Linked DNA regions of Lytechinus pictus. The protein of the gene in region 1 binds, or shares a complex with, the protein of each later gene. Links are inferred from orthologs where the notes say so. Each region holds a gene or a part of one and is shown on either strand. Other genes may lie near its edges. The genes, in order: DNA-directed RNA polymerase I subunit RPA2-like and RNA polymerase I-specific transcription initiation factor RRN3-like.

The links.
Region 2: DNA-directed RNA polymerase I subunit RPA2-like (region 1) and RNA polymerase I-specific transcription initiation factor RRN3-like share a complex: the UniProt entries of both Homo sapiens proteins name them as parts of the pol I pre-initiation complex. The link is inferred for Lytechinus pictus from reciprocal best matches to the Homo sapiens genes POLR1B and RRN3.

Annotation. Positions count from the first base shown.
Region 1 is NC_087257.1:11,049,021-11,061,833, forward strand, and holds the start of DNA-directed RNA polymerase I subunit RPA2-like, read right to left. Parts: upstream 6,438-12,813; 5' UTR 6,347-6,437; coding exon 6,275-6,346; intron 4,934-6,274; coding exon 4,799-4,933; intron 3,535-4,798; coding exon 3,460-3,534; intron 2,636-3,459; coding exon 2,516-2,635; intron 2,011-2,515; coding exon 1,870-2,010; intron 779-1,869; coding exon 680-778; intron 1-679. Other genes in the region: elongation factor 1-beta-like, read left to right, coding at 6,628-6,707, 9,961-10,083, 11,126-11,270, 11,950-11,989. UniProt on the Homo sapiens protein: Catalytic core component of RNA polymerase I (Pol I), a DNA-dependent RNA polymerase which synthesizes ribosomal RNA precursors using the four ribonucleoside triphosphates as substrates.
Region 2 is NC_087254.1:4,770,902-4,783,602, reverse strand, and holds the start of RNA polymerase I-specific transcription initiation factor RRN3-like, read right to left. Parts: upstream 6,260-12,701; 5' UTR 6,007-6,259; intron 1-6,006. UniProt on the Homo sapiens protein: Required for efficient transcription initiation by RNA polymerase I (Pol I). Required for the formation of the competent pre-initiation complex (PIC).

The DNA.
Region 1 (12,813 bases):
TTTGTTTTTTAATAAAAACGTTGCAAAAACATACTAAATACGCCCAAAACGTACTGGTTGGCAGGTCTGAGAGTGCATTGATTAAAAATACACAATACTGGTGCGTAAATGAATGTTTTTAACAGAAATATGGCGCAATATAAATGCTGTGGATCATCATCATCATCATCATGCGTGCAACGCATTACACACAAAGCTTTTTGTTACACTGAATCGATTACAAATTATTGTGAGTTGGATTAGCATAGTCAATGAAAAACCCCTCTTAAGGTTGCACCCTGCAATGAATGTGGTACAGGAGGGATTCCCTACATGTTTGTCCGTGTTGGGCAAAGAGTTGAGCAATTTACTAGAAAGAGGGTTCCCACAGAAATTTGAAAACAGAATTCCATGACTTTTCCACGACTAAATTGCTGCTTTCCATGACTTCCCGGGAGTTATGTAGAGTTTGGGATGTCACAAAACTGGGAAATATAGAAATCATGAACACCAATTATAATAGCAGAGTATGAGAGTTGCGAGACACAACAAACTGGAAAGTTGCCATAGCCAAGAGGTAAATGCCATTCCATGACTTTTCACAAATTTTCCAAATTCCCTGACTTTCCAAGACCACAATTTTTTCCAGGATTTTCCATGACTGTGGGAACTCTATAGAAATCTGTGATTTGTCACTTACAACTATGGACTGGTCATTGCGGACACATCTCATCTGGACACCGAACTCCGTGAAACCTTTTCCTCTGCTCTTCCATTTTGGACGGTTGATGGCCAGTGGCTGTAATATGAAATGTAAATATTTATTAATTTCTTATAAAATGCACATTTTATGCAAATTACATTATCATATCAGGGGGGTGTTTCATAAAGAAATAAGTATGACTTAAATCGCACTTAAATGTCGACGCGTACATGATATGCAACGCGCAATCTTATTGATCAATACGCAGTAGTGCGCATCCTCTTAGCATGATCTGACCAATGCGGTCATGCCTTTTATACTGCACCTAACTAGGCATTTAAGTGCGACTCTAAGTCATACTTAAATCTTTGTGAAACACCCCCCAGAACTGATAATACACTGGAACTTATCCTTTCAAATTTGTTACTACAAGGTAAAACTTTTATTGAGGGCAAAGGTTGAGTCAACAAATGTAAAAAATATGTTTGCTCACATCATGATATCTTCATTTCAAAGTTGAAATATAAAAGTAAATTTTAAATAGCACTGAACATGGAGATATTTGAAGCTTTTAGAATACTTTTTATTCATGCAATTTTACTCTGATGAGTGCAGGTCGGAAAGCTTATTAGAGAGCGTTGTTGGCTCAGTCCGTAACGCGTCTGCCCGTCGAACCAAAGATCGTGGGTTCGAGTCCATCCCATGCGGATGACTGAAGCCAGTGCGTTGTGTGTAAACGTCTCTCCCATGTTTCATAGATGCAGGCTATGTTACAATGGAAAACACTCCGACCCTCAGATAGGACGTTAATGGAGGCCCCGTGTAGAGGAGAGTCACCACCTTTGTACATTAAGAACCCACTGCACTATTCGTATAAGAGTAGGGGAAACCCGGCGTAGTGGTCCACCTGCACTCCCCCAATCAGTTATATCAGGAGAGACCTGCGGGTCATAGTGATTCAATTCGCTCTTCGCCTCCCAGGCACAGGTGACGCCAAACAAATAATAATAATAATTAGTGTTTCCTGATTAGTGCTTCTTACTGATTTTGCCGTACCAAACATTCATTTATAATAATAAACAATAAATTACATGAAGAATTTTTTGCCAGCTCAAAGATACTCACCTTATGTAATATTGAAAACACCACAAATTAGACACAATTTAGCAAAGAATTTGGCTACTTACAAAATTTCTTCTTGGCATGACGAGCATTCTGATGACCTTCTCAATGCCGTTAGCGATGAAATAACCTCCCATTTCAGAGCCCTCTTCTTTCCTTTTTACAAGCTCACTGGGAGGTAGGTTGTGAAGATTGCAATTCTTACACTGAAAAAAAGTACAGAATTCATTCATTTATTTCTTTACTAATCATTTATTCAGCAGGTTTCAAGAATTCATAATAATAGAAAAATGTGTGCAAGAGTGTACAAAACCAATTCATCTCTTTTTATGTCCTTTTGTACCACCTTATTCATGTCATATTTTCAACAAATACTACTAGTACTTTCTCTTTACAGTTGGCAGGTATGATAAAGCTTTCCTGAATTGTATTGCGGTGTACTGTGTTTGCTCAGTTGGTAGAGCGTCCGTCTCACAACCGGGAGGTCGAGAGTTCAAACGCCGGAGCATCAGACCAAAAGATGTATTTTGGGAGTTGCTGCTACCCTGTCTGGGGTTCAACATTGAAGGGATAGATCTCGTTTATCTGACGCTGCACAGTGGCTGCCGGGCCAAGAAGAATTGGGCAAAAAGAATTTTCGGAATATTTCTATTTGAAGACTTCTATTTTCAAACAATGAAATGTGGATTTGGATTGGATTCATTGACTTACTTTTACAAGGATGGGTATCTGGCCCAGAGGACGCATGACACTCCCACTGTCCCCATTGCTTCGTTGCCAGAGCACCCTTGCCTGAAGAGGGGCCTGGTACGTCGTCCCACGCTGTCGACACTAAAAGGAAACAAATTTATTTTTTTAAGCAACTACAATCACTCTGGAGGTGTTGCCATGGTGTAGTGGTTCTCACTCCAACATTTCCCCCAAGAGGGTCATTGGTTCCAATCCTTCTCCAGGATGTACAGCGGTATTGATTTCCCTCGGCAAGAAAGTAATCCAGATTTTGCTGCAATCAACCCAGGTGAGGTACATGTAAATGAGGACTTGGCAGGAATTTAGCCCTTGAAACAGAGTGTGCCTAACAGCTGCTCTGCTAAAGCTGGGGTTATCACCCTGCATCATTATTGAGCACTTAGAGACTTCTGATAAGGTGTTACGCACTATAAAAGGACGTCATTATCATTATAGACTAAACAACATTCCCATATCTTTGATCGTGGATCCTGATGACAGATTTAAAATGTAAATGAACTTTTACAGATAACCCGCCACTTCGAGATATTGCTGAAGAGCATATCTACCTATAAATGGCATTTTGATTAGCCTACAATGTACATTGCACATAATCCCGAATTGTTCACCTATAGCTGAAATTTGATTTTAGTCATTGAAATTTAGATGGCTTTCGCAACACATTTTCAAGGATATTCGATGATAAATAAAGATAAAAATAACCAATTTCTCAGGGCCAATGAGAGGAAAAGAAATCAAGCGACCTTTGGGAGTTTCATTGAAGGATCAGTACTGATAATTTCAGTGAAATCCTTGGTTTTGATTGGCTGAGAGGCACTGGCCTCTGACTGTTACTATAGTAACTGTCAGAGACAATCAATTTGTCAGTGCTGACAACTTTAATGAAACGGTCACCCTGAACCTACCTCTGATGGGTAGACTTTAAGAGTAGAAGCAAACAGGTTTCCTCTTGCAATGGTTGGTACACCAATGAATGCATCCTATGAAAAAAAAAACAATCACAAAGAATGAATGTATCCTATGAAAAAAAAAACATAAATAACAATAAAATTAAGAACAGGACATTCACAACATCAGAGCATATTGTGATATACAGGTGACCCAGGGGATAGGAATACTATGGGCCAGAAAGGATAAAGATGAAATTAAAGGGGAATCCAGCCTTGGTCATAAAATGTTGTGTTGGGAAGGAGAAAAATAAATTAAACAGAATGGTGAAAATTTGAAATAAATCGGACAAGAAATAAGAAAGTCATAGCTGCTTTAAAATTGGGATCACTAATAGTATGTAGATTTCAAATTGGCAACTGGGTAAGTAAATTATGACAAGGGGCAAGGACAACCTTCCCATAGGCCATGTACTTTATTATCAGGGATTTGTGGTTTTCTCCTAAGTACCCATTCCCCTGGGGCAGTAATCTAAATATAACCCAGGTAGTATATTGTTAAATGTCCTCATGAAAGAAAAATACAATTTGAAATAAAACTTTGAGGAAAAATGACATTTTAGCCATAATATGTAGTGGAGTACATGGAAGAGTAGTCCTTGCCTTACATCACTATGACATCCCATATGCGGCCAATTTGAAGTCTCCATGAGTATAGTGATTACCAATATTTCCAACTTTGAAAAATTCATAACTTTCTTGTTGTTTGTCCAATATTGTTCAAACTTTCACCTATCAACTTGTCTGACTTTTCTTTTTCTTATAAAAACAAGTTTTTATTTGGGTTGGATTCCCCTTTAAGTTTGGGATGAGGCGGGATTTCATGTGAATTTTAAGGAAAATGTAGAAAGAAGTATTTTTTCACTTTTTTTATATAAGGAATACTTGGGGGTAAAGATGGAGATGAATCATTTTAGAAATTAGAATGAAACAAGATAGCTGAAAATTACTATTAATGGCAATCCATACTTGTGCATATACAGTGTACCAGTATAATGCCCCATTTTCATACTTATATGCAATGGCAATTCCAGAGTAATGTTTTCATGAGTAAAACTCTGTCTCCAACTTTCTCTCATTTAAACTACTCAGCTATTCAGAAACATAAGAACATTGATATCTATCAAGCAAAAGTACAATGTTTACTTTGTTTTTTTAATACTTCATGTGTTATCTTCTTCCACAGTCACTCTGGAATCTTTTGGATCAAATCAAACTTTTCATACTGATAAAAAAAAATTAGATTTCATCATATTATTTGATTTCAAAATACTATTCAAATCTTTTCTAATGATACCTCATATGAAAGTGAAATTCTTTCATCATCCAATAGGAACTCCACTGGATTGATGTTCCTCACTGCCTGTGCTAATCCATCGTCAAGCATGTAATTGAAGGATTCAATGTGAGGGCGCACTGCATCTTCTAGGAGCTGTTTTCACAATGAAAAAAAAAGACAGAATCAAAATCAATTGTAAACACCAGCCATGTATTAACCTCTAACTTCATCAAGGATAAGAAGAACATAATAGTAGCATAGGCCAGGCCTGCAATCACCATCAGTTTTATGAACATGTACATGTACTCATTTCTCAAAATTATCTTAAAAATTCAATATCTTATACTTGTTAAATTTAAGATACATGTACCACAAGGACAAAGTTCATTGACCCCAATTGTGATATGTGACTTGTATACCTGAAACTCAAATGATCAGTAACCATGATTGGTGACACTTAAATATCCTACTCCTAGCTATATGTCCAGGTTTCAAAAAGTTAAACTTTTGACTTGTTGACGATCGACGAGACAAAAATCAGATTTAAAGTCTAGAGTCTCTACATCTTTTGTTCGTGTTAGGTATCTAAATAAGATTTTTCAATTTTTTTAAACATTAACTTCAAGCTCTAACGTTACGCTCTCCTTATTATAAAGATCTAACTTTACAATAGCTTTTGCAAGTAGTAGCACGTGAAAACTTAACCCAGGGAGCTCAAGGATAATAAAATTGCAGGTGATGAAATCATACTTCTTCGTCTCCCTCCTCCGGTGAGTGGAGGAGATTATATTCCGTCAGCTGTAATGTATGTCAGTTATGTCACTGAATCATAACATGGACCTAGACCAAAAGCTTCAGTCTCTGGTATGTTGGTTGTTCCGCTGAACTCCGTTGGCTCCACTCACCAAATACAGAGACTGAAGTTGTAGCTCAATCTGTACAGGGACCCAATTATGGCCATTTATAATAATTAATATTAATATGTTCATGTAATTATTAGTTCGGATAAAACAGGGAAGTGAAGTTGCGCGACAGCCGAGGTAAGTCACTGTGTTTTCCCCTTTTAATTTTATTTTTCCCCGTTTTGGTGCATTTCAGGCCAAAACGGAATATTAATAATCTTTATTTTGCCTTTTTTTAGTTTTGGTACACGTACAGTTCTTTTTATATATTTATGAAATTAAGTCAGACAAAAATCAATGAGCCCCGTCGGGGGGATTTTGCATTGTTAACCCCCTAATGGTGGCTGCACGATAGCGAGCCGTCTGTGTACGAGAAATAAAAAAAAATAAAAATGTTTTTAAAAAACTCCTCGAAACAGACGGCTGCCAGCTGTCTATAACATGGAGCCTAATATCCGCACTCAGGTCGGTTCGCTGTGGCATTGATTTAATGTACACAATATTACAACTTCTCACACTACACCAAATCATGCACACGAAACATTCCTTATTACATGGTAAATTCAAGATTTAAAACGAATGATATATCAACCTTGTTCTGGTACTCTTTCGGTCTCCCATATTCTCCATTTGTTAAGTTACGGTAAGTTGGTGTATCACTCATTTTGACAAATTTTGGGCGACCACCTTACCACATTCACAATTCCATTCGCACTTGCAGTGCACTGCAGTTTTGTTTGGCAAAGCGCAAGTGCATCGACGTTTCGCACATGCGAGATTTTTTTTCGCTGAACCCCCCTTTTTTACATTCAATGTATGTATACTGTGTGCTGTGCGTGCCCAGTTCCAGAGTCATCCAATTATTCATCCTTTCCTGAAAAGTACACGTGTGATTCACTTGCTGCTCGTCTCAACTCCGACTTTTAACAAACTTATCTTGCAAAAATGGGTTTCGGTGATCTTAAAAGCAGCAGTGGGCTCGGTGCCCTTAATGATTTCCTATCAGATCGCAGTTACATTGAAGGGTAATTTTCTTTTTATTTCACAAGATTCAACAACATACGAGGTAGCGTCTAGCGAGGCGTGGCGTGAGCTGACTGAGTCTTAACCCAGGAAGCTCCCGCCCGCGCGGGCGGGAGCTCCCTGGGTTAACTGAGTCTGAGCTGCGTGCTGTGTCTGCCCTGCACTGCCACTGCGATGTTCAAGTTGAGATGGGTACCATAGGCATGATTGGGATATCAAATGTTAATAGTAAATTAGCATACGAAAGTAAACCACAATGGGTTTTTTATTGATAATTATACTGCTGTGTGTGATTGGTTCTGTCAGTAGACAGGTAGATAGAGGCGCTGGTCCAAAAATTGGGATTGTCTCACTCTCACTCAGTCTCAGAAAACAAGGATATCCTCATCATGTCATAACCAAGGCAAGACAAATCATGTCTTGATGAATTGAGATTGTCCTTGTTTATTGGGACAGTTTCTCTTCATTCACTTAGTGACTTTAGCCCTGCGGGACATGGACAGCAATTCTCGCTACCCCAAATAGGAACAAAAATCTCATAATGCGCGAGACGAGATTATTTTCACTCCGTCGGGTCGTCATCACCACTTCCGGTTCAGAGTCATGCTCGCGCGAGGTTCGCGATACTGAGTTTTCCACCACGCTGAAATCGATGCCAATCAGCGATATGTACAGATTATAATACTTTTTATCTAATTTGGTCAGTTTTGATTCCATTTGAATTATAAATAAAAATAAAAAATATATTTCATGTGAAAATAGTTTTTATTCATGTTTTTATTTGGTTATAAAAAATTAAACAAAAAATGAGTATCTTAAAATTTCGCATTTAGCGACCGGCCTGACATCACGATCGTATTCGACTAGACGCTTAATATATAGCCTACAGCATTCATTCCGTTCAATTTTTCGTCGACCACAAAATGGATAAAAAAAAAATCAGTTTTGGAACTTTAAAAAATCTTAACTGACAGAGGAATACCGTGCAATGGAAAGCGTCAGGCAGAATTAGTGACTTTAGCAGAAAAGGCCGTTAAACTGTATCGTGAAAGAGAGGGTTGTGATCACGAACTTTCCGAGCGAAAGCGACGTTGTGTTGTTGTGCATGACGGCACTGTTGATCTGAATGGCAAAACAGTGCATTGGACTTCCGAACAGGAAGTTTTAATACCGAAAAGCTATCCCATAATGCAATGCGCGTTACAGGGATTTTTCCCGGATCTCGGCAAAATCGCTATTTGGGGTAGCGATAATTGCGGGATTGAGAGTGCTAAAAATAGATTAAGTGACCTCAATTCCCCCAGTTCACCGTCTATGGACTATGTCTATGACTATAATCTATATTTCATGACTTTCTGTCTTCCATTTCCAATAATCTTGTTATGAAACCTGATGATATGTTTACATTACATTGACTAGTGCACTGGATTGATGTCACAAGAAATCTAACTTAGGAAAGTTCATTCACCTGTGAAGTGCCGACATCAATCGGCACTTCACAGGTGAATGAACTTTCCTACGTTAGATTTCTTGTGTGGAGAAATCTTTGAAAACTGAGACAGTCCCTGTAAACTGGGACGATCCCAATTTTCTGACCAGCACCTCTGTCATATCACCTTCATTTTGTGAAAACTCACACAATTTTCTTATTTCACATCCATTTTTGATAATAAAAATTTTGGTGTGTGATTTTTCTTTTGTTTTTATTTTATTCAAGTCATCTTTCAGGTTTTAGTTGTTTATTTCCTGTCTAAGTGGGGTGTCTGAAGCCACACTGAAAAGTGTCAGCATAAGACAGGCTGATTTAGGGGAAAATATGGCACACTTTTTTCAGGAAATTCAGGCTGCTAAAAAAATGTGATCTGAATTGATTATTAACTTTTGTTTGGCATGTATTGAAAGAAAATTCAGGGGCTTCTTTTGACAGTAAGGACAAGTTTATAGGATTATTTGAAATAAGGATTTAGAGATAAATTGCAAACCCTTATTTGTCTGTGTGTTGAGATTGTTATTTCCCCATGCATTTTCTATGGGAAAATGAAATTTCTGTTTTGCACAAATTTTTTCACTTTGTCGCAATTCTTCATTGTGATCTGGTTTCCAAATCTTTATAAAAATCATACCATCGGAAAGAGCATAAAAATTCCTACTAGACACTTTATGGACAAGTTTTTGGCATTAATAATAAATTTATAACAGCTCTCGGAAGCTAAAAATTAGGATTTGTGTGTGTCCATTTCTTAACTACACAGTAATATGGCAGGGAAATGCTGAAAATTGACCTAATTTCATTCTTCTTTTTTGCAGCCAATAATTGGATTTTTTCAAAAAATATTACATTTCTATCAGTCTGAAGGTTTTTTCTCTTCAAATTCACAAAGAAAATGTGATATTTCCTTGAAATAAGAAAAAAAAATTCTCCAGACACCCTAGTCTAAGATTAAATCAACATACATGTAGCCTATTGTAGGCCTACATAAAAAGAATGTGATTGTTTTTTATGTGTTTTTTTAGAAAACAATTATTTTATTCCGCTCTGAGCGCCTTGAGCATCTAATTAAGATCAACATGGAAAGTGCGCTATACAAATCTTGAATTACTATTAGATAGGGCAAAAAAAAATGAAACGGCATTTCTACTAAAAAGCGTTACCTTTATTATATATTCTTTATTAGCATTATATTGTCAAAGACATTGCTCAAAACTGACCATGAAATTTCCTACTAAATAGTTAGAAATAAGGCTTAAATGCGCCATAAAATGTGTCTGGAAATGCATACATACAGCATTTTGGCCCATCCCCAGGCCATAGGCTATACTTTGTGGGCTAGTGGCTGAAAATAGGCATTTTTAAGTCTTTATAGACTGTTTGAGCCTCTGTGAGGAGCCATGGAAACATGTCACATTACTTGGCTGCCAGAAAATGTTGCCACATTTAACTACATTGTTCACTCAAAATATAGAATGAAAATTTGAGGCAAGTTCACCTATTGACTTTTTGACACATGTCTACAGCACAAATCTGGTGCCACCCTAGTATTATTTTATTTTTAGAACCTACTTTGAATTAAAAGGGTTATTTTTATTGTGAGTTGCATCTAGACTCAATCAACGTACAATGTAGCTTGTGGTTACAGATTTTGTTACTACCCTCATGAAAAAAAAAACCTTTATGTATTTATAGTATACACACCCGAATGAATGAAAAGAATTTACATCAGTTTACCTTTAGTTACTTTTCTCTTCCAATTTCAGGTACACTGTATCCCAGGCTGATGTTGTCGTTTTCAAAGCACTGACTGGGGGCCCAGCAGCAGACCTCTTCAACGCACTCAGATGGTACAATCAAGTCAAGTCGTATTCTTCCACATTTACTAGGTGTGTGTAATTTATCTTTTTTTCCTTATGAATGTACAGTAAATGGGGCTAATGCATCAATGGCAGCCAAAAAAAAACAGTTATTTTCAGGGGCTCCTTTTTGCAAATTATTGCCCAATAAATCTGCTACATTGGATTTTTTTACATTGCAATGAAGAAGGATTTTCCAGGGCCCCTTATTCAAGTTTCCAGGGTCATTTTTAGCATAAATCGGAACAAAATCTTCTTCTTCACTCGTAAGTACAGGCCACTGTAATGCCGCCGCGCACAGAAAAATCAAGCCATAGAAGTCGTGTGTGGTGGATGCCAGAAGTGGCGTCACAGCACACGCGACCCACTAGTTAGAAATCCACTGCCAAACGCGGTTCTTGGTGCGAGGTTAGTATACTATTATAAATAAGGTACTAACCTCGCACTAGTGTGAGTGCCGTTTGGTGTATTTTTGTACTGTTGACTGTTGTGCAGGTTTATGTACAGTGTCTCATTAAACTTGCCCTAGCCCGCTTTTCCCTAATTAAAGGGGAAGTGAAGTTCACCCTGATAATATTTGATTTAAATTAGAGCAGAAAAATAAGAGAAAAATATTTGTGAAGATTTGATGGAAATTTGTTTGTGATAAGCATCTGATTTTGTGACATGACCAACGAGCAGCTCCATTGGCTGTGTGATATCATTTTTTTTAAAGCCATTTTCTCAATGAATTGAATTTTATTTTATTTGTGCAGGGAATATATAACTCAGGAGAAAATGGAAAAGATTTTTTTAACATAATCCAAGTTGAGTTTTGCCCAAGTCAAACAGAATTCTAATATGGTCCCATAAGATTTGACATTTGCAGGTTCGCCTGTATAATAATTAAGAAAAATGTATCTATCCATGATGATAGGGGCATTTAGGCTGATCAATAGGATATAAAAGGCCATAGCCTTGGATTAATATAATCCCTATTGATGCGTACAGGGTGTACATTATATCTTATTTTACATAAGAGACGTTGTTTTAAGATTTATTTCTTTTTTATTTTTTGGTTGTTTGAAACCAGCCTACCTGGGGTAGCCAAAGCTATCAGTGAGTACGGTCCTGCGGTCACTCCAACTGCATCCAAGAAACCCGCTGACGACGACGAAGATGGTGACGACAGCGATTTTGACGTCTTTGGGTCAGATGATGATGATGAGGAGGAAACTGTGAGTGTCATACAAACTCTTTATTTTTTAACCCACAAGTTGGCTAAAATCATTCTTTGGTTTAGGCCCTGTTTGATTTTGGGCGTGTTTTGCAAATGTCCATTGAACACGTACGTATGCATGTCTCTCATTGCCCCTGTAGTATCCTTGTAATCTCAAAGATGTTCATGGATTGTACATACATTCAGCGCATGATGGCGTGCCAGTGAAATCGATGCTAATTCTAGGATCGAGTTGAAGAGAGCTTGGGTTTGGGTAATTACGTCCCAGTTTCAGCTGGAATTATGGAAATTCAATACATGCCCGGAGAAACAAGTTATTGTGGTTTTTAAAAATGATGTGTTGAAGATCAGAGGCTAGATATAGGCAGCCTAGTAAGCACGCACCAAGGGACACCAGGCTGTATTGCAAGCGCTAGGCGCAGCGACTGTGAGATTGATCGGTCGAGTGGTGGCTCCGAGTTCCGGGCCGATTCAGGACCCGGAAATTAATTTTGCTATTAAAACCTTCCAGTCCAGGTTCAAGCCGGGTTTTCATCCCGAGCCCAAACGTTACATGACAGTTTTTTTACATGACTTTTGTATAGATTGATTTATTCAAATATAATTTATTTGTTTAAAAGCTTTAAATCCTGTTGATCAAAGAATCTATTGATTTTTGTTTTCTTTTTGTTTTACAGAAACCACCTCCAAAAAAATTAGAGCCAAAGAATGCAAAGAGTAAGTTAATGACATATGTTTTATGATATTCTGATTTATTGAACCTAGGTAGTTGTCCATATGAACAGGCATAGGGTAGTCTTTTGTCTTTGCACTATAAATCCATGACCTTGATCAAAGTTAAAATAATGGGGAGCCAAAATGTTGAAATTGCACAGGTCTGTGTTATCTGTTTCCTGTCTCTTCTTCGCTCATGTCTAAATGATGGAGAGAACTATTTCAGTTATTATTCCCAGTCAGTTATGAATGATTTGAGTGTCAAATTGGCTAACAAACTGAACTTGTACTTTTGGATATACCTGTCATGATTGGCTTTCCATAGTTAAACCACAACCTTAGGCCAGAGTTCAAATTAAACAGGGCCCCGTCTTACAAAGAGTTGCGATTGATCCAATCAACCTCATATGGACGGCCAGCAAAGTCAACATCTAAAATTCAAATTTGTTCGAAATATTTTTGAGATATCATGTATATTCATACATTCCTTGCTCTTTTGAAGATTCACTGATTCTCTTTGTTTACTGAAGGAGATTGTGTAAATTTTCTAACGAAAAAGTTATGGTATGGATGGATTTCCATACAGTTGAGATTGATTGGATCAATCGCAACTCTTTGTAAGACGAGACCCAGAACTCACTTTCTTCCAGCATCATAAGACATGCTTTTTCTATTGATACTGTCCCAACACTTGTGTGGTCATTTTAAAGAACAAGTCCACCCCAACAAAAAGTTGATTTGAATAAAAAGAGAAAAATCAAACAAGCATAACACTGAAAATTTCATCAAAATCGGATGTAAAATAAGAAAGTTATGGCATTTTAAAG
Region 2 (12,701 bases), on another chromosome or scaffold:
TTTGCAGCAAATGTAAACGAAGGAAATTGGACTCCAAAACTGGAGACTGTCTCTGAAATTGGATACCCAAATTCTTTACAAAAGTCTCTGATATTGGAGATAATCTCCCACATTGGAGACAGTCTCCAATATTGGCCGTGCGCCTCTACTGTGAAGTAGACAGGAATAACCGTTGTTTCTGGGGATTTATTTCACAATTTCTGATATTTTACTATCATCCCCATTCACTGCACCGACGGTAGTGCGTTAGACCCCTGCGGGACTTGGACGGCAATTATGGGGATTGAGAGTGCTAAAAATAGATTCAGAGACCTCTCAATTCCCCCCAGTTCACCGTCTATTTTTCATGACTTGCCGTCTTCCAATAATCTTGTACTATTGTAATAAATGGTTATGAAACCTGATATTACTAAACTAGTAGGTATGTGCGAATACGGGCGCATCGCGAGCGCTGGTTTTGGCTGCACGGTTTTCGCGCGGGTTTCGCTGCAAGTGGCATCGCCTCTGTCTGGGAGGCTCATCGAAAATGGGGTTTCATGCGCATGTGCACATAGTTGATGCAATCTCGTGCCTTGATACAGACAGTTGAAAATGTGCTCTTTCTGTACATATAAGTTTCAATGTGGATACTCGCCTGTGAAGTGTGGATATCGGAGCTTGAAAGTTCATCAAATTTTTGGATGCGCAAAGTAGAACTACGATCCAATTATGTATCTGAATTGTTATAGAATATATTCAAATCAACAAAAAAATTAAAATTAAAAGATTCTATCGTTGAGCTGTCCAGATATAAGAGAAGCGAGCTACCCTTGTCACAGCCGGTCTCTCGGCAGTCGAGCTGCCCGATGCGGTGGGCTCCCGTCCGTCTTTCGGCAGTCGAGCTACCGGTACCCGATGCGGAGGGCTTGGTGACGGGAGCGGTCGATAGTGAGTCGTTCATGCTGGATTGAACTGGATCTAAATTGTTTACTTGATAATATTGTGCCTTTTTCTGAAAATGTCTGTCATTATACCGTAGATTGTTATTCTGATATTGATTTAAATATATACATTTTGTCACAAAAACATTCTTTCCTCCTAAGGTTATAGAGTCAACATGTTTTACTTTGATTGTTCAATCATGTTTTATCATTTGGAAACTGGATTCTTTTGGAAGTGGAATATTAATGTTGACTTATTGAATTAAAATGCAAAATCTATAGTGTTTCTTTTTTTTCTTTTGTAGAAAAAAAAATATTTTGAAACTTTTCAATCATGTTTCATTATTTTGAGACTGAATTTGCTTTTGAAAGGGGAATATCATAAATGTTGACTTTTTAATTAAAATGCAAAAATTGTTAATTTTTCAGTTTCTTTTTTAAATTATTGTATTGTTTATTTTTTCATTTTTGGGGGGTCATATTTCATTATTAGGAGACTGGATTTGCTTTTGAAAGGAGAATATCTTAAATGTTGATTTTTTTTATTAAAATGCACGAACTAGATGTTGTTTATTTTTTTGTTGTAATTTTTTCACTCTTGTAAGAAAATACATGAAAACTCAGAGGAAAGAATATTTCATTTCCAGATGGGTCTAAGTCATGTATTTATGTTTTCTTTATTATTAATTTTACTATTTATTTTTTTATTCACTTTTCTTTTTTTAGGGGCGCAGGTGGGGGTTGTGTTTTGAATTGGAAAATGGGGATGGGATTGGTACAAGTTTTTGTGTCACTTTTGTTTCTCTTGTTTTTAGTGCTTGTTTGGAGCTTTGATGTCTGTTTTGTTGTTGTTTAGAGCTTTGTTATATATTTTTCCTGGTTGTTTTTTGTTTTGTTTTGAAAGAAATAGACCACTCTTTTCCTTTTCTTTTGGCTTCGACTAATAATTTGAATTTATTTATTTTTCTTTAAAAAGAGAGCTCAAACAGGGCCTTAGTAATACAATGTATGTATACAAATATAAGACATTGACAACTGATAGAATATATTAAAACTTAATTTTCGTCCTTCTTGATACTTGAAATAAATTGCATACAATTCTACATACATATTTTACACTCAGCTGCTCATTCCTTCTAAAAAAATGTTATCACATGTCCATTGTCTCTCAAATCAAAAGCTACATATTATACATTACATAACAAATTGTTGAAACAATAGAATACATAAGGAATTGGTGAAACAATCAAAATCATCAGAAAAAAGCACACATATTTTTATTTGGTCATACAAAGTACAAAAGAAAATGTTTTATATGTAAAAAAGGACCCCCGTACATACACATATACAAAATTACAATACTAAGTTGAAAAAGAGCTTGTAATTTATATCAGAAAAACAAAGAAATACATTAGAAATTACAATAACAATACTTTAGACAAATTCATTTAGGAAATTATCTACATGATGCTGTCTTGATGCCAACTAAATTATATGAATTATCTATCATAATCACCTTCATTTGGCAAAAAAAGAGGCGAGTAATTGTGATTTTGTGTTATTTGCATAATTAATTAGAATTAATTAGAAGAAATTATTTTACACATAATAAGAAAAATTACAAGATGAATTGATATACATCAATTGAGCATTCTCTCACCTTTCCATTGATACCTAAATTACTTCATAGGACTCAAAAACAAAGAAGTTAGAACCTGTTGAAGACTTGGGTTCAAAATGGTCACAAAATGGTCACAAAAATGGGTTCTGTACTCCATTGACTTTACATTAAGACAATGACCACAAATTTGGATGAATATGCGCAACTTAAACTGGAATAACTTTCTAATTTCTTGATGAAAATTAAAGTTCTTGGTATCATTTTAAAGGTCTTTTTAAGAATAAGAGCTTTCAAGTGATACCAAATTTATTCATATTTGATGATTTTCATTTTTTTTGTCACATACCTAAAACTAGTGCACTTGAATGATGTCGGCTCTTGACAGGAGAATGAACTATCCTAGATTTCTTGATTCTTCAGCAGAATCCTGACATTGAGGCAGGGCCCAGACCTTCAAGAAGGGGGAACTAAAAACAAAAAAGGCAGCGTTCGTTCACTCGCGCTCGCTTTCAAATATTCATATTGCAAACAAACTGGCCGATCGCGATCGACTACCGATGGCATGGGTAAAGAAAACAGATTTTCACGCAAAATAAATAGGCTCAGCCAAATTCACGCATGTGCACTCAGTATATCGATACCAAGGTTATATTAATTTATTATTTTTAAATGCAAATTATTAATATTAATAAATACAACCATCATCTGACCAGGGACTCGATTTTAAGGCGCGCGAGAGCGATCGCGCGCTACATGCGCGCCTTAATCCATTTTTGGTAGCGCGATTAATAGCGCGCCTCGCGATAGCTGACCTGCGCGAAAATGCCTAAAGTCGCCCTCGAAATCACCCAAAATCATGCTTTCGGGGGCGACATAAAATCTGAATGTCGCCCCCAAAATTATTGCCGAGTGATAACAACTCAACGGCCCACTAGTGCCATATGCTCGAGCTCCGCTTACCATTTAAAAACCATCCAAAATCCACACTCAAAATCACGAATAAGCCTTAAAAGTAGAGAGTAGCGCAGTTTCAAATTCCGAAGTTGCGTTATTTTTTCTGTACCACGTATTTCCATACACATGGTACCAGGTATGGAAAAAAAAATCAACGCAACGGTCGGGAAAGAGTTGCATGTATAGGGGTCCATTATGACTACCACCGTGTGTCATTTCGAATGCACATGTTTCCCCTACAGATATCACAATTCTGTGATAAAATAATTCTAATTACACAGGAAATAAATCCCAGAGTCTAGTAACCTAGCATTGGTGAGTTGTCATTCGGCTTTGCTTTTCAAAACGGCTTATTAACTTCCAAAATAAGTTATCTAATTTATCAATTATAACTAAAAAGTCATTTGTTTTCTTTTTCTAGGGGATGAGGTATTATATCAGACAATAAATCATCAAACAAAGCTCCATCTTTTTTACAAGGACGGCGGCAGGCTCACGCATTGGCGCTTTTACTAGCTAGCCAGTTGGAGCTCTGTCTCTCTGCCAGAGCTCTGGGGGACAATTCGCTCAGTAAAGGCCTCAATGATGGTGATTTTCTGTTTCAGACAGAGTTTACATTTCAGGAATATTATTCAAAACTGCCAATAAAGTTTGATGATTTCTTCATTGTCATGTATATTTAAGTTCTTAATGAATACATTCTCACCAAATTTAGACTCCCCCATAGAGAAATTAAATTTTCATGGAGATCTGCGTTTTCAAAGAACTTCAGGAAAAGTTAGGGTAAGTGGGCCTTTATTACATGTACATGGCTGACTAGGGTATTGTACTGGAATAAATGGAGTAGAAATTAGATATTGAATTCATTTATATCCAAGTCCAACTCACAGTCACACACACACACACACACCCACCCATCCACACACACCCACATCCAAGATTGTAAACATGATAAATAACTTTAAAAATCATACAATATTAAACAAAAAGTAATAATTCCTTAATAAATGAACAGGTATTCCTCAAAATACAAAAAAGTAGCATTTAAAAAGAGCCCCCGAAATTTGACAAAAAAATTAAAATGGAGCCCCCGAAAAAAAAAAAAAATTGTCAGTGACTTAACTTTTAGCCAAAGTCAAAACCTAACTAAAACAGGTTTTACAACACACAATCTAATTACAATACATTGTAAAACAATTATAAATACTTCCTTTGGTTGTTGATTGTAATTTTATAGTACATACATTTCCTCCATCCATTTTGTTAATTGGGCAAAAAGCTCCCCTTGTATGTTGAAGAAGAGCTTTTTGAAGTGCTCCTCTACCGCTCTCCTTAAAAGTTCTAGGAGAGCTTTTTATTGCTCCCCTTATAATTATAAAACCGAGTCCCTGATCTGACCTAGACCAAAAGCTTCGGTCTCTGTTATGTTGGTTGTTCAGCTGAACTCCGTTGGCTTCACTCACCAAATACGAGGAGAAATAAAAAATAAAAAAATGTTTAAAAACTCCTCAAAACCACTCCTAGTACCAATGAGGTCCAACATTACATGTATGGACCTCATAGGCGACATCAGTAGTATTTTTGGTTAGAAATCTCTGAGAACAGGATATTTATACATTATATCACAAGTACAAGCTATATTCCTTTCTCTTATTTAAATTATAATTTTATAGTGTAAATGCATCGTTAGCAACAACAAAAAATGAAAGAAATGAAGGGGAACTTACATTTTCACGGCTTTTTCCTGATTTTCTGGGCAGCTGCTCTTCTCTTCTGACTCGCGATCGAAGCTGATATGAAGATCACGTGATTCGCGTTCTCGTCAGCTGATCGGTTGGTTATTCTTTTCGTCAGACGTTAATAATATATATTTTATAATGCTAGCATTCATCGCTAATTTAGGTGAAAGAGATTGAAGTTAAACAGCGCCAGGTCGGAATCATAATTATTTTGGAAGAGTGTATTTATACACTCGATCTCATACCTGACGTAGACGGCGCTATTCAACAAATGCACAATCTTCAATATAAAAAATAAAACAGAAAGAACGCCTTGAACACAGGTCAAAATGCCTAACGATTTCTCCGCGGCATTAACAACTATCGTAAAGGGCGCTCCATTTATCAATAAAGATGGATGCTAAGCTGTCTATGGCGACAAAATTTGCCGCAAATATTTACGAAGAATTGTGAGAAATGGTCTGAAAATGCAACAAAAGAACCGGTGAGTACCGATTAAACATTATTAAAGTTGTAAATAGATTATAGATACCTTGTAGATTTAGTTTTTAAGGTGATATTAGTGCTTAGTTCTAAGCTAGGGAGGCCCAAACGCGCGTGAGTGGAGTCCCAGTTTATTAGCACGGGGTGTCGCCTAGAGGCTAGAGTGCTCAAAACAGACGGCTGCCAGCTGTCTACATCTGACCATGACAACACAAAAGTGCACAGATGGGACTGTACTGTCGATTGAATTGATCAATTTGATGCCAGGTTCCATCCATACGGTACTCACCTAAACTACATCAACTGCGTTATTGAGACTTTCCAATCGGCTTGAAATCCAAAGAATACTCTCATTCAATGCTGACTGAATCAATGTCGATGGTAAAGTCATAAAACAAGCCCTCATTTAGTTCACTTTCAACACGTGTTGTAACTTCGTCGCGGAATGTTGCGCATGAGTTAAAGACCTATCGAAGTCACGTCCATAGGCTAGGCATAGAGATGTATACTAATAACGCGTATACGTCGGCCGCGCCGGTGTCATAGAAGAATTGGGCCGGGCAGCCGTTCAGGGCCGGAGGAACTAATCGGTGGCTCTTTTATCCGCCGATTAGTTCCGAATATTTTTTTTTTAAACAAGTGCACACCGAGTTACCAATAATGCATATAGCATTTCCATTTATTTGAAGGCAGGATAAAAGAGCATTGTAGATTAAATACCTTGCTCACAGGCATAGGTGCCGCGGCCGGGGATCGAACCCCGGACTTTCCATGTATAGCCACGCGCCTTAGACCACTCGGCCACGGCACCTCCAACATTGTTGTGTGATGCGATCGTCATAGCCGATTTGTTCCGACCAGGCGATTTGTTCCTAGACGCCGCTCATTCAACGTTGACACTTTTCAACCAACTGGCTCCTCCAAATTAACCATATCGACAGAACATTACAGTTGCCGATTTGAGAATCTTATTTTGGGACATAGAGATGTATATATGTTTTGGAAATATATAATTTATGCATTATTTTAGCACACTTCCGATTGATTACAGCTGTGTGGGCCGGGCCACGAAGCCATATTCACACTGAGTGCTCCCTTTGCACGCCTGTTATATTTGGGGTGTGAACTTCGATTTTGTATAGATCTAGGTCTTCATTACTCAAGTAAGAAACCGGGGCAAGAAATAGGACGGGATGGCGACTGGTGTGCTGAGGGTGGGTGGGGGTAAACACTGCTGCGTGCTCACCAAAACCCCCAAAGTAAGTATAGAAAAAAATATATAAATAAAATAACTAAAAGCTTAATAGTCCATCAAGGCTGCACAAAACACAGGGAACTCTTAGTGACACCTCATTGAGACAAACCCGGGTAGTCCAAAAAGGAGGTGCCAAAAAGGAGGAGATAGATGAAAATAAAAGGGAGAGAAAAAAAGCGAGATTCGAAGAACAGATCGCAAAATTAATTGGGAGAAAGTAACAAAGAGAAAAGGGGGGAAAAGGAAAGAGGGGATTAAACCGAAAGGGGAGAAAAGGAAAAAAGAAGGGGGACAAGGGGACAAGGGGGATTTAAAAAGGTTATAAAAGAGCGTGGCCGGGATACCATTTGAAGTGTGACCTGTAAGGAGGTGCCGAATTGATCATAATTATGTTCGACCTTTGTGCGGCAATTTGATGTTTGGCCCGGGGTTTGGCCTCGGGCGCATTCATGTTTGGGGGGGGGGGGGACAAATTGACATTAAATTACTTAGGGGGCATCAAATTGACCTGTGTAAATGAGGGGGGGGGGGGCTTTAATTGGTGCTGACATAAGAAAACACACACACACAGGTGTATTTTATTTATGACGACTCAAAACTGGTCGTAGCTTATACGATCATCAAAGCTTGGTGCAATAAGAGATACTAAGCTACAAGTTATGTATTTTCATTTTTTTTCATTGATCATTGAAGTATAATGGCACCGACGCGTCGACTTGGTGTACGAATTTTTCTATGCTGCGAGCGAGCAAAATGTTGACATATTATGATAAAAATATAATTTGTGATATATAGATTTTGACACAATTTTCAGAGAATAATATATGTCAAAAGGGGTATTGTGTGCAAACAGATAGCCCCCATGCTTAAGGTAGTGCGAGATGTCCTCGCATTAGATAAAAAAATCACGGTCCATGTTAATAATAAAAAAGGAAAATATTGTTTAAAAACTAGCTCCTACTCCAAAAAAGAGAAGTGGAACGGTACCGTGTGTCAACTGTCCAGCGCTGCAATATACGCATGTCGCATGCGCAAAAAAGTGTAGACTAAATTAGTATCGTACGAAGCTGAAATACCTCTTATCTAGACCAACATTTTTAATTTTAAACAGAATTATAGAAATAATCGGTTCTGTGATAATATTAAAATTACATTAAAAATTACACCAATATGTATATTGAAACATTTGATCAAAACATATATTTATAGAATATATTTATTACCTTTTTTGGCTTTAAACAGAATATAGAAATAATTATTTCTAAGATAATATTCAAATTACATTAAAAATTACACAAATATATATTTTGAAACATTTATCAAAGTAAATATCTACCTTAGAAAGATTTGATAAATGTGGAACCAAACGGCGGCTCTCCTATCGTTTCGGCCAAAATTTGAACCAGTCATTTGGATCAGGCGGGCCCGATCGACTAGCCGTTTTGTACTGGCGGTACTAATAAGCTAGCCGTTTTGGACCGCCGGTACCCGGGCCAATTCGCCTATGACACCTGTCGGCTGGCCTGGCGCTATATAGCGCGCGGGGCCGGGGGGGGGGGGGGGTGTCCCCTTATACAACGTGGCCACTGGCTACTGTCAGGCTTTCACCAATTCCCGGCACCAATTTCATATATATATATATATATAACGAGATGAGGCGAGGCCAACTCAACAGATGACGCAGGACACCATTATTTGCTTTAGCTTTCGTCTTTTAATTGAGACTTCGTCATCAGTTCTAGCGTAATTACAGAACGTATCCTATCTCGTTCTTTAGGAAAGAACGAGATAGGATACGGTCATACCATAGAGATTAGTATATATCTCTATGGGTCATACTTAACTATCACAATAGTCTGTAATTACAGACGCTTCTGACGAAGTCTCAATTAAAAGACGAAAGCTAAAGCAAAAAATGGTGTCCTGCGTCATCTGTTGAGTTGGCCTCGCCTTATCTCGGTATGTTTGATATTCACAACTCAACAGCGATTGGTAGGAGTAAACTTATCATCACATTATATATATATATATATATATATGTATATATATATATACATATATATATCTTCTTATATGTTCCCAATACTCTTCCAAATAACATGGTCATATGTAAAGAAAGTTTTATTTTTTGTCTATATACTTACAGAAAACTAATTTCCCTCATAATTGGTATTATTAGTACAATAATCAATTACAATTTTCACTTAATGCTGATTCCCTATTTACCCACACTCCGGGCCCACACTCTCTGTTACTTCATTGATGACATGTATTTTTTGTAGAATTTGAAATAAACTTGAACTTGAACTTTCTATTCTTCTCTCATTGATACCTCAAATGAGAGTGGATTCAGATTCACACGTGAGTTTCTAGTGCGCAACTCGTTTCTGATATGTCTCAATACATGCAATATTTATTGTTCGTTATCTAGCTGCCATGCGTGAACGATTTACTACGCTGTTGGAAATTAGAGATGAGAATACAATCTTACCATGGACATCAAAATTTATATAGTAAAACCTTTTTAATAATGTGAAGTCTATAGGGGCCTATCTCTGAAAACTTCTGGTCGGCTTTCGATCCTAATTCCATGCACCTTCCCCCCCCCCCCCGGGGGGGGGGGGGCACTTATATTGACGAGTGGATACCATGCGCGACCAAAAAAAAACACGTAAAAAGGATGTCTTTTTCAAGATAGGGCACGTTACTTACGTAACGTGATAAGGGTGTCAAAAACACAAAAATATTAATAAAAGGGTATCTATTTCGCGCGGAAATATATACGTGTTTAGGGTCAAATATGCGGGGATGATAAAACAAAATAAAAATGTTTGATAAAGGATGTCCTTTTTGCCCCAACACTACGTGTTTAGAGTCCGATTTGCGCGAGGTGTGGAAGGTGGGGCCGACTAAACCAAAATAATGGTGTGTATATAAAGGTAAAACCGACGACCGACGGACCAGTGACATAACAATAAAATATCGCTGTACTTGTTTAGGGGTTCATTTCAGGGAATACTTGCCAAGAGTATATCGTTTTGTTTCCACTTTCAGAATATGGAAAATACATCGCCGTACTTGTTTAGGGGCTCAATTCTGGGAATAATTGCCAATAGTATTTGTTTCTAATACTTGTTAAGGGTAAGGTTTCACACGCCAATACTTGTTAAGGGGTGCATTTTGAGAATATGGAAAATACGTGTATAGGGTGCTTTTCAAAACCCCGTGGTCGCGCATGGTATCCACTCGTCAATGGAAGTGGCCCCTCCCAAGCCACGTACCGCACAGGGTGTTGATGAACCTACAAATTTACACATTTTCTCATGATTATTTTACATTATACTCAAAATACAGAAAGTCCTTGAAATACATCAATTCTAGCAAGACTGTAATTAAGAAGCTAATTGAGTGAGCATTTTAGAATTTTCATGTTTTGTCCAACCTTACATAATGATGGCACCATCCTGGATGATATACCGTTCCTTTTATTTATTTTCAAAATTGTATGTGTCCCCATGCAATGTATTTTACCATCATAAAAATATATTTCCAAGCTATAATAAAATATATGCCAGACTTTATGATAAATTCGAACTGGAACTGGATGCCCGTTTGATTTGGTCGGTCATTGGATAAAAGTTTTTTTTTTTTTTTTTTGGGGGGGGGGCACACAGCTAGGCCCTGGGAACGATTTTTTTTCAGTGGGGGTGCTGAAATCTCTCCTCAAAAGTGGGGGGAGACACAATTTACCATATTTCTTTTATATACAGTCACACACACACCCTCACACACACATACATATATATATATATATTGTGATGAGGCCAACTAAAAAGATGACGCAGGATACCATTTTAGCTTTAGCTTTCGTCTTTAATAAGACTTCGTCAGACAACCGCGTAGCCAGGATTTCATTTTGGAGGGGGCGGTAAATGCACGCGAAGCGTGTCAACACTATAAAGCGCGCGAAGCGCGCTCCCTAGGGGGTGGGTGCAGGGAGGGGGAGTTTCCCCCTCCCTTGCGAAGCGCGAAGATTTCGGTGTTTCATAAATTAAAATGAAAATGAGCCGTCTCTCTTGTCTCTAGTACCTATTTTAACCCATAATTCAGTTGACTATATTGTGATTTTGAACCTTGTTTTCGAAAGTGACTGTGAACGCACAAAAAGGGATAAAATGGAGGAAAATAAAATATTATTAACCCTGCGTGAAGCGCGGAAGCTAAAGCGTTTTGTCAATTTTTTGGCAAAGAAAAGGGTCCCGAGAAAAGGGTATTCTCTAAGTTATATTGAATACTTCCCTCGGAAAGATCAGATTTGATTACAAACAATTTAGCGACAGTGCATATCTTAACTCGCAAAACAGAGGAGAGGAAGGATGGGAGGAAGATATTCCTCCCCGTGCAGAGCAATGAAACTCTGAAATTTCAAAGGGCGGGCGTTTCGTCAAATGCAGATATCTCTAATACCCCATTGGCTCTAATTCAATTGTTTTTCCTCTAAGATTATTGAACTTCATTACAAAGAAAATAGTGCGCAAAAATGTGAAACTTCTGTGATTTATTGAAATCATATAAAACAGGATGATGTATAATTTCTTTGACTTATCCTGATGCGCTTCATTTTAAATGATAATGAAATTTAAGTGTCATTCAAAATTTCAAACTGAGGGCGCAAAACAGGACAGGAGATGAATGTGCAGGGAAATGACATGAAGTTTAGTAGAATTTGATAAAAAATATTGTACTTTTTTTTTATTTAATACGACATGAATGTATACCTTCCTCTTTTTAAATTAGGAACCTGTTTGCCCCCAAATTATGGTTGTTTAGTAATAAGCTGAAAAGCGGGAGAAGTTGCCTATATGGAGGTGACGCCAGAAATTGATATAAAGATTTTACCCGCCCAGAGACGACCCGACCAGAAGTTGCGCGATCAATAAAAAAAAAAGAAAAGATAACTTCATATACTTCGGCCTATCCTTACTCTAATTTCATGCCCTAATGTATATATTTGAACTTTTTAACTGGCAAGAAACACATATAGCTGAGGTGGAAAAACAGGGATAGAGAAAGGGTGAGGGAAACAAAGGAGAACTGCAATATTGTCATTTAACCGCGCGCAGCGCGGAAGCAAAATTCATACATGTATATATAAATTTAGAGCAAGAGTGAAGGAGTTTCTTTTTTGAGAAAAAAAAAAGAATAAAAAGAAAAACCCACAAAGCTACCTTTCTTCCCTTTCCTTCCTTCGCTTTTCCTTTTCCCCTCTCTTTTTCCCTTCTTTTTTTTCTTTTGGGGACGTTTGGGGGGGGGGGGGCGACCGCCCCCACCGCCCCCCTGGCTACGCGCCTGTCGTCAGAAGCGTCTGTAATTACAGACTATTATGGTCATGATGCCTTCCTTATTTATCTTGTTTTTATAGGTCAAGTCCACCCCAGAAAAAAGTTGATTTGAATAAATAGAGAAAAATCAAACATGAATAACGCTGAAAACTTCATTAAAATTGGATGTAAAATGAAAAAGTTATGACATTTTAAAGTTTCGCTTATTTTTCACAAAACAGTTCTATGCTAACTCAGTGATGTGCAAATGAGAGTGTTGATGATGTCACTCACTCACTATTTCTTTTGTTTTTTATTGTTTTAATAATACAATATTTCAATTTTTACGAATTCGACAATTATAGGACCCCCTTGCTTGAACCACAAAATGTTAAAATAGTGGAATTA